2 linked regions of the Sus scrofa genome follow. The main gene of each other region encodes a partner of the protein of the gene in region 2 in a complex. Links are inferred from orthologs where the notes say so. Each region holds a gene or a part of one and is shown on either strand. Other genes may lie near its edges. The genes, in order: APLN and APLNR.

Region 1 (4,489 bases), on a different chromosome or scaffold from region 2:
CAAGGTCAGCAGCTCTCAGACTCAGAAGAGCAAAGTGCATCCCAGGTCAGGAGGCAGCAGAGGAGTTGGTGTGTGTTGGTGCAGGTGCCTATTCCAAGTCAGGACAGAGCATGTTGCAGAGGAAGCACAGTTTTCAAGCCTGGAACTTTGACAGGGGACTGTGGCTGAGGACGGCATGCAAGCCTGCGCCAAGGGCAAGGTGGCACAGAAATGGCCCCTTTTTCTGGCCCAGGACAGGGGGCAGGAGGAGCAGGACATGTGTCCCCAGACCCTGGGCTGGTGGCTACCTGCATGGAGGTGTCCCTCCTCCTCGGCTCCAAGAGAGAGCAGGGGGTGGGGTGGGGAGGCAGGGGGAACTTTGGACATTTCCAGTGCCAGGGCTTGAGCAAAATGTGAGGGCAACAGATTTACCCAAAGCAGGCTGTGGGGACAGGTGACCTTACAAAAACTCCCGTCATGGCGCAGTGGTTAATGAATCCAACTAGGAACCTTGAGGTTGTGGGTTCGATCCCTGGCCCCGCCCAGTGGGTTAAGGATCCGGCGTTGCCGTGAGCTGTGGTGTAGGTCGAAGTCTCAGCTCGGTTCTGGCATGGCTGTGGCTGTGGCGTAGGCCGGGGGCTACAGCTCCGATTAGACCCCTAACCCGGGAACCTCCATGTGCTGCGGGTGTGGCCCTAGAAAAGACAAACAAACAAAAAAAACCCCAAAAAACCAAAAACAAAAAACTGGTGAAGTGAGGCAGGAAAAGGCAGGGCCTGGGCCAGACACAACGTTCCCTACCCTGGAAACCAGCTATCCCTTGACCAGGACCACCCCAACAGCTGGACCCTGGAAGGCTCCGAGTGGCGGTCAAGGGGAGCCAAGGTTCTCCCCGTAGGCTCTGGGGGAGCCCCAAGGGTGCAGATCAGGAAGGGCCATCTTCCTCTGGGACGCCCTCTCTGCACCCACTCTCTCTTCCCTGAAGGCACCACCTTGGACTATTTGCCAGCGGTGGTGTCACGTGGTGCCTGGTCTCGCCAACTGCACGGGATGGCATGCTCCCAGAGGGCAGACCCGTGCCGTGTCCTGCCTTCGGACCTTTCGTTCTCTTTCCACCATTGCCGGCCCGATGGGAGTTTGTGAGGAAAAGGCCTGCTCCCTTCTTACCAAGGACGTGGCTGCCCCAGGGCTTGGGCCCTGCGGAGAGAGACCACTGGACAGCTAGCTGAAGGCAGGTGGTGCCAGATCCAACCAATTCACCTTTCTGAGAAGCCAGGCAGAGCTCCCAGGGCCAGGGCAGTGCCAAAAGGCAAGAGCAGAGAGAGGAGGTGACCTACAAAGAGAGAAGTGGCGCCCCGCCAGGTCCCTCACAGGCTCCAGGGCTGTAGGACATCCTTCTGTTCTGAAGAATCTGGAACCAAGTAGCGCCCTGGGCCCTTCCTCTAAGAAACTTACTGTCCTGCTCTCTCCTTCCCCCTGCACCCCTCTTCCTGCGACTCCAGCCCTGGCACTGGCATTAGTCCCCCTGGTCCCCGCCTGCCTATTCTGCAGTGACAGCCAGATCACAGGACTGTGGCAGCTGGAGGTAAGAGCTGGCAGCCCCAGGAGACACTGACGCACGGAGGACAGGCAGCCCTGTCTGGGGCTGCTGGGGTGTGGGTGGGGACCAGGCCTGGAGAGGGTGAGGGAGCACGGGTGCCAAGTATGCCAGGTGGGGGTGTGGTGCAGGTGGGGGCGAGTTGCATGGAGGTGTCAGGTCGGGCGCTGCTTCCTGGTTTGGTGCCTGGAGACAGAGACTGAGGTCAAGCATGCCCATGCCTGGGGCAGAGAGGAGGCCGGGGCCAGGATATCGAAGAACCGAATCCCTGGTGGGGAACAGAGACTGCGAGGAGGGCCTTCTGCGTGGGAGCAGGAGAGCAGACCAGACAGGACTTGGGGGTAAGGGAGGAGACCAGCCTGGCCCGGCCCTGCCTGGCCCAGCCCAGGGGAGGCTGCCTCTGCTCACATGCAGGCTGAAAGGAGCAACAGCTGGGCTCCACGCCGCCGCCCTCGCCGCGCGCTCCTGCCTATGCAACAAGTGTCACGTCTGCATCTTGGCACATCATCCCCAGTGGCCCGCGCCCCCAGACCGGCCGGCGGCCCCTAACCGCTGGGAACCAGAAAACCTTCCACGCAGGAACCCAGCCCACCGGACTCAGGTCAGTTCCCTCCAATGATCCACCAGGGCAGCGGGACGTGCCCCCCCCCTCCCCGCACATGCTCTCCACCACGTGGGGTGCGGGGCGCCGGACACCGAGAACACGCCCGCGGCCCTGAGCTCCTCAGGATGCAAGGGGGAGCCAGGAGGGGTCGGGCGCCGCGGGGGTGATGCCCCAGGCCGAGCCGAGCACCCCGGAAGGAGCGGTGCCCGCGGCCGGCCGGCCCCTGGCCCCGGGCGCCTTGTCAGTCGGCCGCCCGGCGCGTGGCGGCTGCTGCACGGCTCGCGCCCGGCCCCCCGGGAGGCGGAGAGAGCGCGATCGTCGGGGCGGAGGGCAGGGAGCGCGCGGGCTGCCGCCCAGGCGAGCGGGAGGGCGCGCACTCACCTCCACACACCGCGCTCAGGGAGAGCCAGAGCAGCAGGAGCGCCTGCACGCAGAGCCGAAGATTCATGCTGCTCCTCCGGCCGCCGCCGCGCAGCCCTGGCCAGGGGGCGGGGGCGGAGAGGCCGGGAGCCCCGAGGCCGAGCGAGGCGCGAGCCGCGGCTTGTGCGTGCGGGCGCGGAACTCGCGTGGCTCCCGGGCCGCGAGACCGTGCGCCCCGAGCCGCGCCGCGGGCCGCTGGCCGGCCGCCTCCTCCTCTCTCCCGCAGCCTCCCTCTGCGCCGCGGGGCAGCGCCGCCCAGCTGGCCGCGGCGGCTCCGGGGGCGGCAGCGAGCTCTTTCCAAGTGGCTGACTGCTCGGCCGCGACTCCAACGGCCCGTGGCTCAGGCTGCCAGCGAGAATGCGCCCCGCTCACTCCAGGGGCTGCATTTTGTAGCCTGTGGCTTGGCCGCGAGCCCACTTGGTCATGTGGTCATCGGGAGGGCTGGAGGGGGGCCAGGAAGAGGGAGAGGGAGCGAGCCTCCCGCACCGCCCCCTCCCGGCGGCACGCACTAGGCAGCCCCAGCCAGGGCGCGAGAGGGAACCTCGAGGTGGCCCCACAACAAAGGCTGCGAGGCCGCTCCGACAGCCCACAACCGCTCCCCGGGACAATGCCCGCCTGGCCAGGGGCCAGAGGGTTTGGAGACCTGAGGGATTTCAAACACAGGAAGCATTTGGGGCAGTGGAGGGGCATATTTAACCCTTTGTCACCAGGCTTCCTTAACAGTTGTCAAGAAACCCAGGGTGCTGCCCCCACTCACCCGCCCTCCCTCTGATCTGGTCCTTTCCCACTGCCGCTCAGTAGCTGTAAGGACTTGGCCAAGACCCTCACTCATGGGCCCTCTGCTCTCCTCTGCATCTGGGTTTCAGTCCTGCCCAAGCCTGCCTAACTGCCCAGCGTCCCCATTTCTCCTTTCGCCGGCCCCCCCAGGAGACACCCTCTACCTGGAGTGCCCCCACCCCACGCCATCCCATTCTTCCGCTGAGTTCTTCAAGACTTAGAGCTGCGCCTCCAATCTCATCTCATTTCATTCAGAAGACTTGCCAGGATGACAGTAATCCAGGAGAGGCCGCCCCTGGGCTCCTCTTCACCATTGGGACATGCAACAGCTTCTATGGCATCCCCTCTCTTGCTCCCCATCATCATCAGAGGCCTTTTACCCAACTCCAAACAGTCTGGGCTGGATTCATTGTGCATGTACCCTTTGTAAGTGGGTCCTGAAGTTGCCTCCCTTCCCAGACCAGATTGTCAGCTCCTACAGCCTGGGGGCCCCCGACAAAAGAGACTCCGTCTTTCACGACGCTGGGAATCCCCTCAGATAGGACCTTGTCTCTTTATGCTTCTGCATCTCTCCAAAGTCCCCAGTATCGGGCTCTGCACATAGGTGGCACTCAACACATGTTAAAAGCCTAAATCAAAGGTGTTTCCACATTTCAGCCAGCCAGGCGGTTTGCTCAATATGCAAGCCCAGATTTCCACACAAAAAAAAAACACAGCCATGTGTATGGTGCCACCAAAGATAGGAGGGACCACAGTAGAGGTAGCGTATTTTTGAAATGTTAAAACAATCCAGTATAAGCACAATTTTTAAAATCAGTCTCCCTCCACGTTTGTCAGCTCCATAGCAGGGATCTCTGCTTTGTTCACAGCTGAATCCCCAGACCTAGGCAATGCCTGGGACATGGTTGGTGGTCCCTACATAATTTTGAAGATACACACGAACTTTTCGAAACCATTCCTATTGTGTATGTCAAGGTAGTGGGAAGGGAATAAATAGGGTTCTAGTTCATGGCCTATGGCCCCATTACCCCAGTCCAGTAGCGAAAAGGCGGAGAGGTGGGAGGGAGAGCACCTCGCTTCATTTGTGAGGCCCAGGCAGGGAACAGGGGGCA
Region 2 (4,317 bases):
TTTTTTAAAAATTATTATTATTTTTTAAATGGCCTCATCCATGGCATATGGAAGTTCTCAGGCTAGGGATCAAATTCAAGCCGCAACTGAATCCTTTGTGGCAACACCGAATCCTTTAACCCACTGTGCTGGGATCAAACCTGTGCCTCTGCTGAGACCAGAGCTGCTGCAGTTAGCCCATTGTGTCACAGCAGGAACTCCCTTATAAGCTTTTTGAATATGGCCAAGACTCATTTCCTGATTTAGTTTTATCCCACTCTTGCCTAACTTTCAATGGCTTCCGTCCCTCTTGGGGGTGCAATTTTTCATCTTTTCTTGTGCATAGCCGCCTTCTTCTTGCCCAGAGGCCCTGGGAGAGGTGAAGAGACAGGGTCAAGTCAGTTTCTCCGGGACTTTGCCCAGGGCATCTGCTCAGTGGCCTCTTTTTTCTGCCTCCCCCTTCAGTTATAACTTCCTGACCCCCACATGGTCTTATAGAAACTGCCTGATCCATGTAGGGCAGTAAAGACTTGAGGACTCAAATGTACATGTGTTCTCACTGCATAGTAATTCATAACCCGTTCTCCTATATATGAACTCCTCCTTTCATTCACTCCCTAACTCACCCACCTACTTACTCATCCACTCAACAACCATTTAGTGATCACTCACCACATGCCAGGCACCAGCTTAGGTGCCTGGAGAAGAAGAAAGGCAAACAGCAAAACCCAAACAAAATTTACCTTGCAACATAGGGAAGATGTTTACCTGCTTGGCCTCAGTTTCTCCCTAGATTAATGACTTGATTAGAGATCCTTTAAGCTGGGGTTTCTTTCTTCTGTGACTGTCTTCGATCCTCTAAAACGTCCTATGCCATCTGCAAACTGCACTCTACTTATGAATTCTAGAGAAATTCCTCTATAACCAGGTCTGTGAACCACAGAAATCCAGAGAGTCAGAGCCGAGGTGTAAAGAAGGATGATGTGGGGGGAGGGACACAGTGAAGCCTGGACTGGGTGGGGGCTGGGAGAGTGGGAGCTGGTGTGTGGAGGACAGACTGGCCTGCCTGGAGGGCTTGCCAGATGCTCAGACCATCCTGCGAAATCTCACACCCCCTACCCTCCCTGGCTCCGGCTCCAGCTGGATTTCAATCTGCATAATTTGTCCCATTTAGACTGGCTGGGAGAGGGTGACAACCGGAGGATGCAAAGGACAGGACCGAGGAACACCGGAGGAGACCAGAGGGAGAGGGGCTGGGCCCTGAGGAGAGCAGGCTGCGAAGCACAGATAACATTCTGCCCAGCACGGCAGGGGTCAATTTGGTCCACTTGCCCAGTGACAAGAAGGGAAAAAAAAAAAAAAAAAAAAAAAAAAAAAGTGGGCTGTAACTTCAAGATCTTAAGACTCACAAGTGAGGGGTTGGTCTGGAGGTGGGAGGAGGGAGGGACAAGCCAAGGAGGAGACAGAGACACAGGAGGGCGAGGAAGTGCCTGAGCTGAGGCTGGGGCAGGGCAGGAGGCGGTGGAGGGAAGCCTGGGGGAGTCAGGCGTCCTCCTGGGTCCTGGGGCTTCAGAGGCAGCTCCTCCTGCTGCCGGAAAAGGCTCCGGACACCTTCAGCCCTCCTCGCCTGCGCTGAGAGGCTCCAGCCAGAGGCTCAGGGTGCTTGCTGAGCGGGTGACAGCCACGGAGCTGGTACCCCGGGACCCCCTGCCCTGTCCTCTCTCTGCTCCCAGGCATGGAGGAAGGCGGCGATTTCGACAACTACTATGGGGTGGACAACCAGTCTGAGTGTGAGTACACAGACTGGAAGTCCTCGGGGGCCCTCATCCCTGCCATCTACATGCTGGTTTTCCTGCTGGGCACCACGGGCAACGGCCTGGTGCTCTGGACCGTGTTTCGAAGCAGCCGTGAGAAGAGGCGCTCCGCTGACATCTTCATCGCCAGCCTGGCGGTGGCCGACCTGACGTTCGTGGTGACCCTGCCGCTGTGGGCCACTTACACGTACCGGGACTACGACTGGCCCTTCGGCGCCTTCGCCTGCAAGCTCAGCAGCTATCTCATCTTCGTCAACATGTACGCCAGCGTCTTCTGCCTCACCGGCCTCAGCTTCGACCGCTACCTGGCCATCGTGAGGCCGGTGGCCAACGCTCGGCTGCGGCTGCGGGTCAGCGGGGCCGTGGCCACGGCGGTCCTGTGGGTGCTGGCCGCCCTCCTGGCCATGCCGGTCATGGTGTTCCGCACCACCGGTGCCATCCTGCACGCCGAGAACGGCACCAAGGTGCAATGCTACATGGACTACTCCATGGTGGCCGCCCCCAACTCCGAGTGGGCCTGGGAGGTGGGCCTGGGGGTCTCGTCCACCGCCGTGGGCTTCGTGGTGCCCTTCACCGTCATGCTGACCTGCTACTTCTTCATCGCCCAGACCATCGCCGGCCACTTCCGCAAGGAGCGCATCGAGGGCTTGCGGAAGCGGCGCCGCCTGCTCAGCATCATCGTGGTGCTGGTGGTGACCTTCGCCCTGTGCTGGATGCCCTACCACCTGGTGAAGACGCTCTACATGCTGGGCAGCCTGCTGCACTGGCCCTGCGACTTCGACATCTTCCTCATGAACGTCTTCCCCTACTGCACCTGCATCAGCTACGTCAACAGCTGCCTCAACCCCTTCCTCTATGCTTTCTTCGACCCCCGCTTCCGCCAGGCCTGCACCTCAGTGCTCTGCTGGGGCCAGAGCCAGTGCGGGAGCGCCTCCACCAGCAGCAGTGGGGAGAAGTCAGCCAGCTACAGCTCCGGCCACAGCCAGGGGCCTGGCCCTGGCCTGGGGAAGGGCGGAGAGCAGACGCAGGAGAAATCCATCCCCTACAGCCAAGAGACGCTCGTGGTTGACTAGGGCCAGGGATCCCTGGAGGCTGGGGTCCCCTGCTCCACCCCCCCGCCTTGGCCCTTGCCCTCTGAAGGTCGGGTCCTCAGGAGACCTTCTCTCTTGCACTTGACTCCATCACTACCCAACCCCCCGCCCTCCGTATGGTCCTTTCTCCCCCTTGATTCTGGTTAAGAGGTTTGTGGTTTAGTGGCAAGGAATTGAGCCCTGCAGACCCAGGCTTGGCCACTCAGTATCAGTGAGGTGGACCTTGCACCGGTCTCTTAACCTCCCTGAGCCTCAGTTTCTCCATTTGTATAAAACGGAGAAAATGAAATGATGGATGCATCTTGGCTCAATAAAAATTCATTTCCCCCATGAAATTCATTCTTTTTCTCTGCTCTCCAGTTCTTTTTTCCCTCCCATTTCCTTTTGGTGTTCTTGCCCCTCACTCTCCTTCTATTCCCGCCACTTCCCCCCCCACCCCCCCACAATTTTTACTCTGAATCTTTACCTTCTGCCTCCCACCCCCTCCCTCAGAATTCGTCCCTCTCCCTCAATCCCTCCTTCCCCCTTTTACCTCCTTGTTCTGAAGGGCTCCTAAGGGTTAAGAATCCTGAAGCTTGCAAACAGGGCCCCAGTTCGAGCTCTTTATCCTGTTCCCTGAGGGCCCCTAGAGGGAAGTAGGCTGGGTGTCTGCAAAGTTACCGCTCTGATCCTCTGCAGCCCTGCAAAGTTACTGCTCCAAAGTCTCTGCAGCTGGGAGCTCCGGGGCTTCCCTCCAAACTGGACCGGTTTGCTGTCATTTCGGGCATGGGAGGTGCAGTGGTCCGCAGAAGGGGGACTCCCTTCCTGCAGCCGCTGCCTGAGGCCAACTAGATATGCTTTCTACCAATTTCCTCAGAGCCTTTCATTCACCCTCTCTCCTCTGTGTGGGGGGGACTGGAAAGCAGTGGGTTTGATGAAGCAGCAGGCTCTTGGGTTTCATTGTACCATTGGGGAGTGGGGAAGGGAAGAGGGAGAAAGAGAGGTGTCTGTATTTAGTCTCCATGCTGCTTGGGTTCCCTCCCCAAATCCTCATTCCTCCACTTTCCTCCAGAACCGGGACCTGCAGGTCTCTCCCTGTCCCTCTACTGCATCCCGACATCGCCAGGACATTTTCCTTGGGCACTGATGTGAGTTGGTGCCAAGTCACTTTGGTGGGGGTGGGGACTTGCTTTGTGTGTGTATGTATGTGTTGGTGTGCATGAGCATAACGTGGAGGGCCGTGTGCCTGTGTCACCTGTCACTTGGATGAACACCCCTCCCCCACTCATCTCTGCCCTTCACACCGTATCCTTGAGGGAAGAAGGGACCTTCTGCATCCACCCCCCACTGGATTTGGGGGCTCTGACGGCTGGTCCGTGCTGTAAAAGAGACGTCTATGTTGGTACCCAGGCTTTCTGCAGGGAGAGCACTCCCCAAAGCAGCTCATGCCCAAA

The links.
Region 1: the proteins of APLNR (region 2) and APLN are in contact, whole or in part, in a cryo-EM structure (PDB 8XZG), measured with the Homo sapiens proteins. The link is inferred for Sus scrofa from reciprocal best matches to the Homo sapiens genes APLNR and APLN. Residues at the interface, in NP_005152.1 of Homo sapiens: Tyr35, Phe78, Trp85, Tyr88, Thr89, Tyr93, Ser106, Ile109, Phe110, Met113, Pro163, Val164, Arg168, Gln180, Cys181, Tyr182, Met183, Tyr185, Glu194, Glu198, Leu201, Gly202, Ser205, Tyr264, Lys268, Tyr271, Ser275, Cys281, Asp284, Leu285; in NP_059109.3 of Homo sapiens: Arg66, Pro67, Arg68, Leu69, Ser70, His71, Lys72, Gly73, Pro74, Met75, Pro76, Phe77.

The regions. Positions count from the first base shown.
Region 1 is NC_010461.5:106,243,624-106,248,112, forward strand, and holds the start of APLN (apelin), read right to left. Parts: upstream 2,941-4,489; 5' UTR 2,629-2,940; coding exon 2,562-2,628; intron 1-2,561. UniProt on the Homo sapiens protein: Peptide hormone that functions as endogenous ligand for the G-protein-coupled apelin receptor (APLNR/APJ), that plays a role in cadiovascular homeostasis. Functions as a balanced agonist activating both G(i) protein pathway and beta-arrestin pathway of APLNR.
Region 2 is NW_018085198.1:66,902-71,218, forward strand, and holds the start of APLNR (apelin receptor), read left to right. Parts: upstream 1-1,412; 5' UTR 1,413-1,714; coding exon 1,715-2,866; 3' UTR 2,867-4,317. UniProt on the Homo sapiens protein: G protein-coupled receptor for peptide hormones apelin (APLN) and apelin receptor early endogenous ligand (APELA/ELA), that plays a role in the regulation of normal cardiovascular function and fluid homeostasis.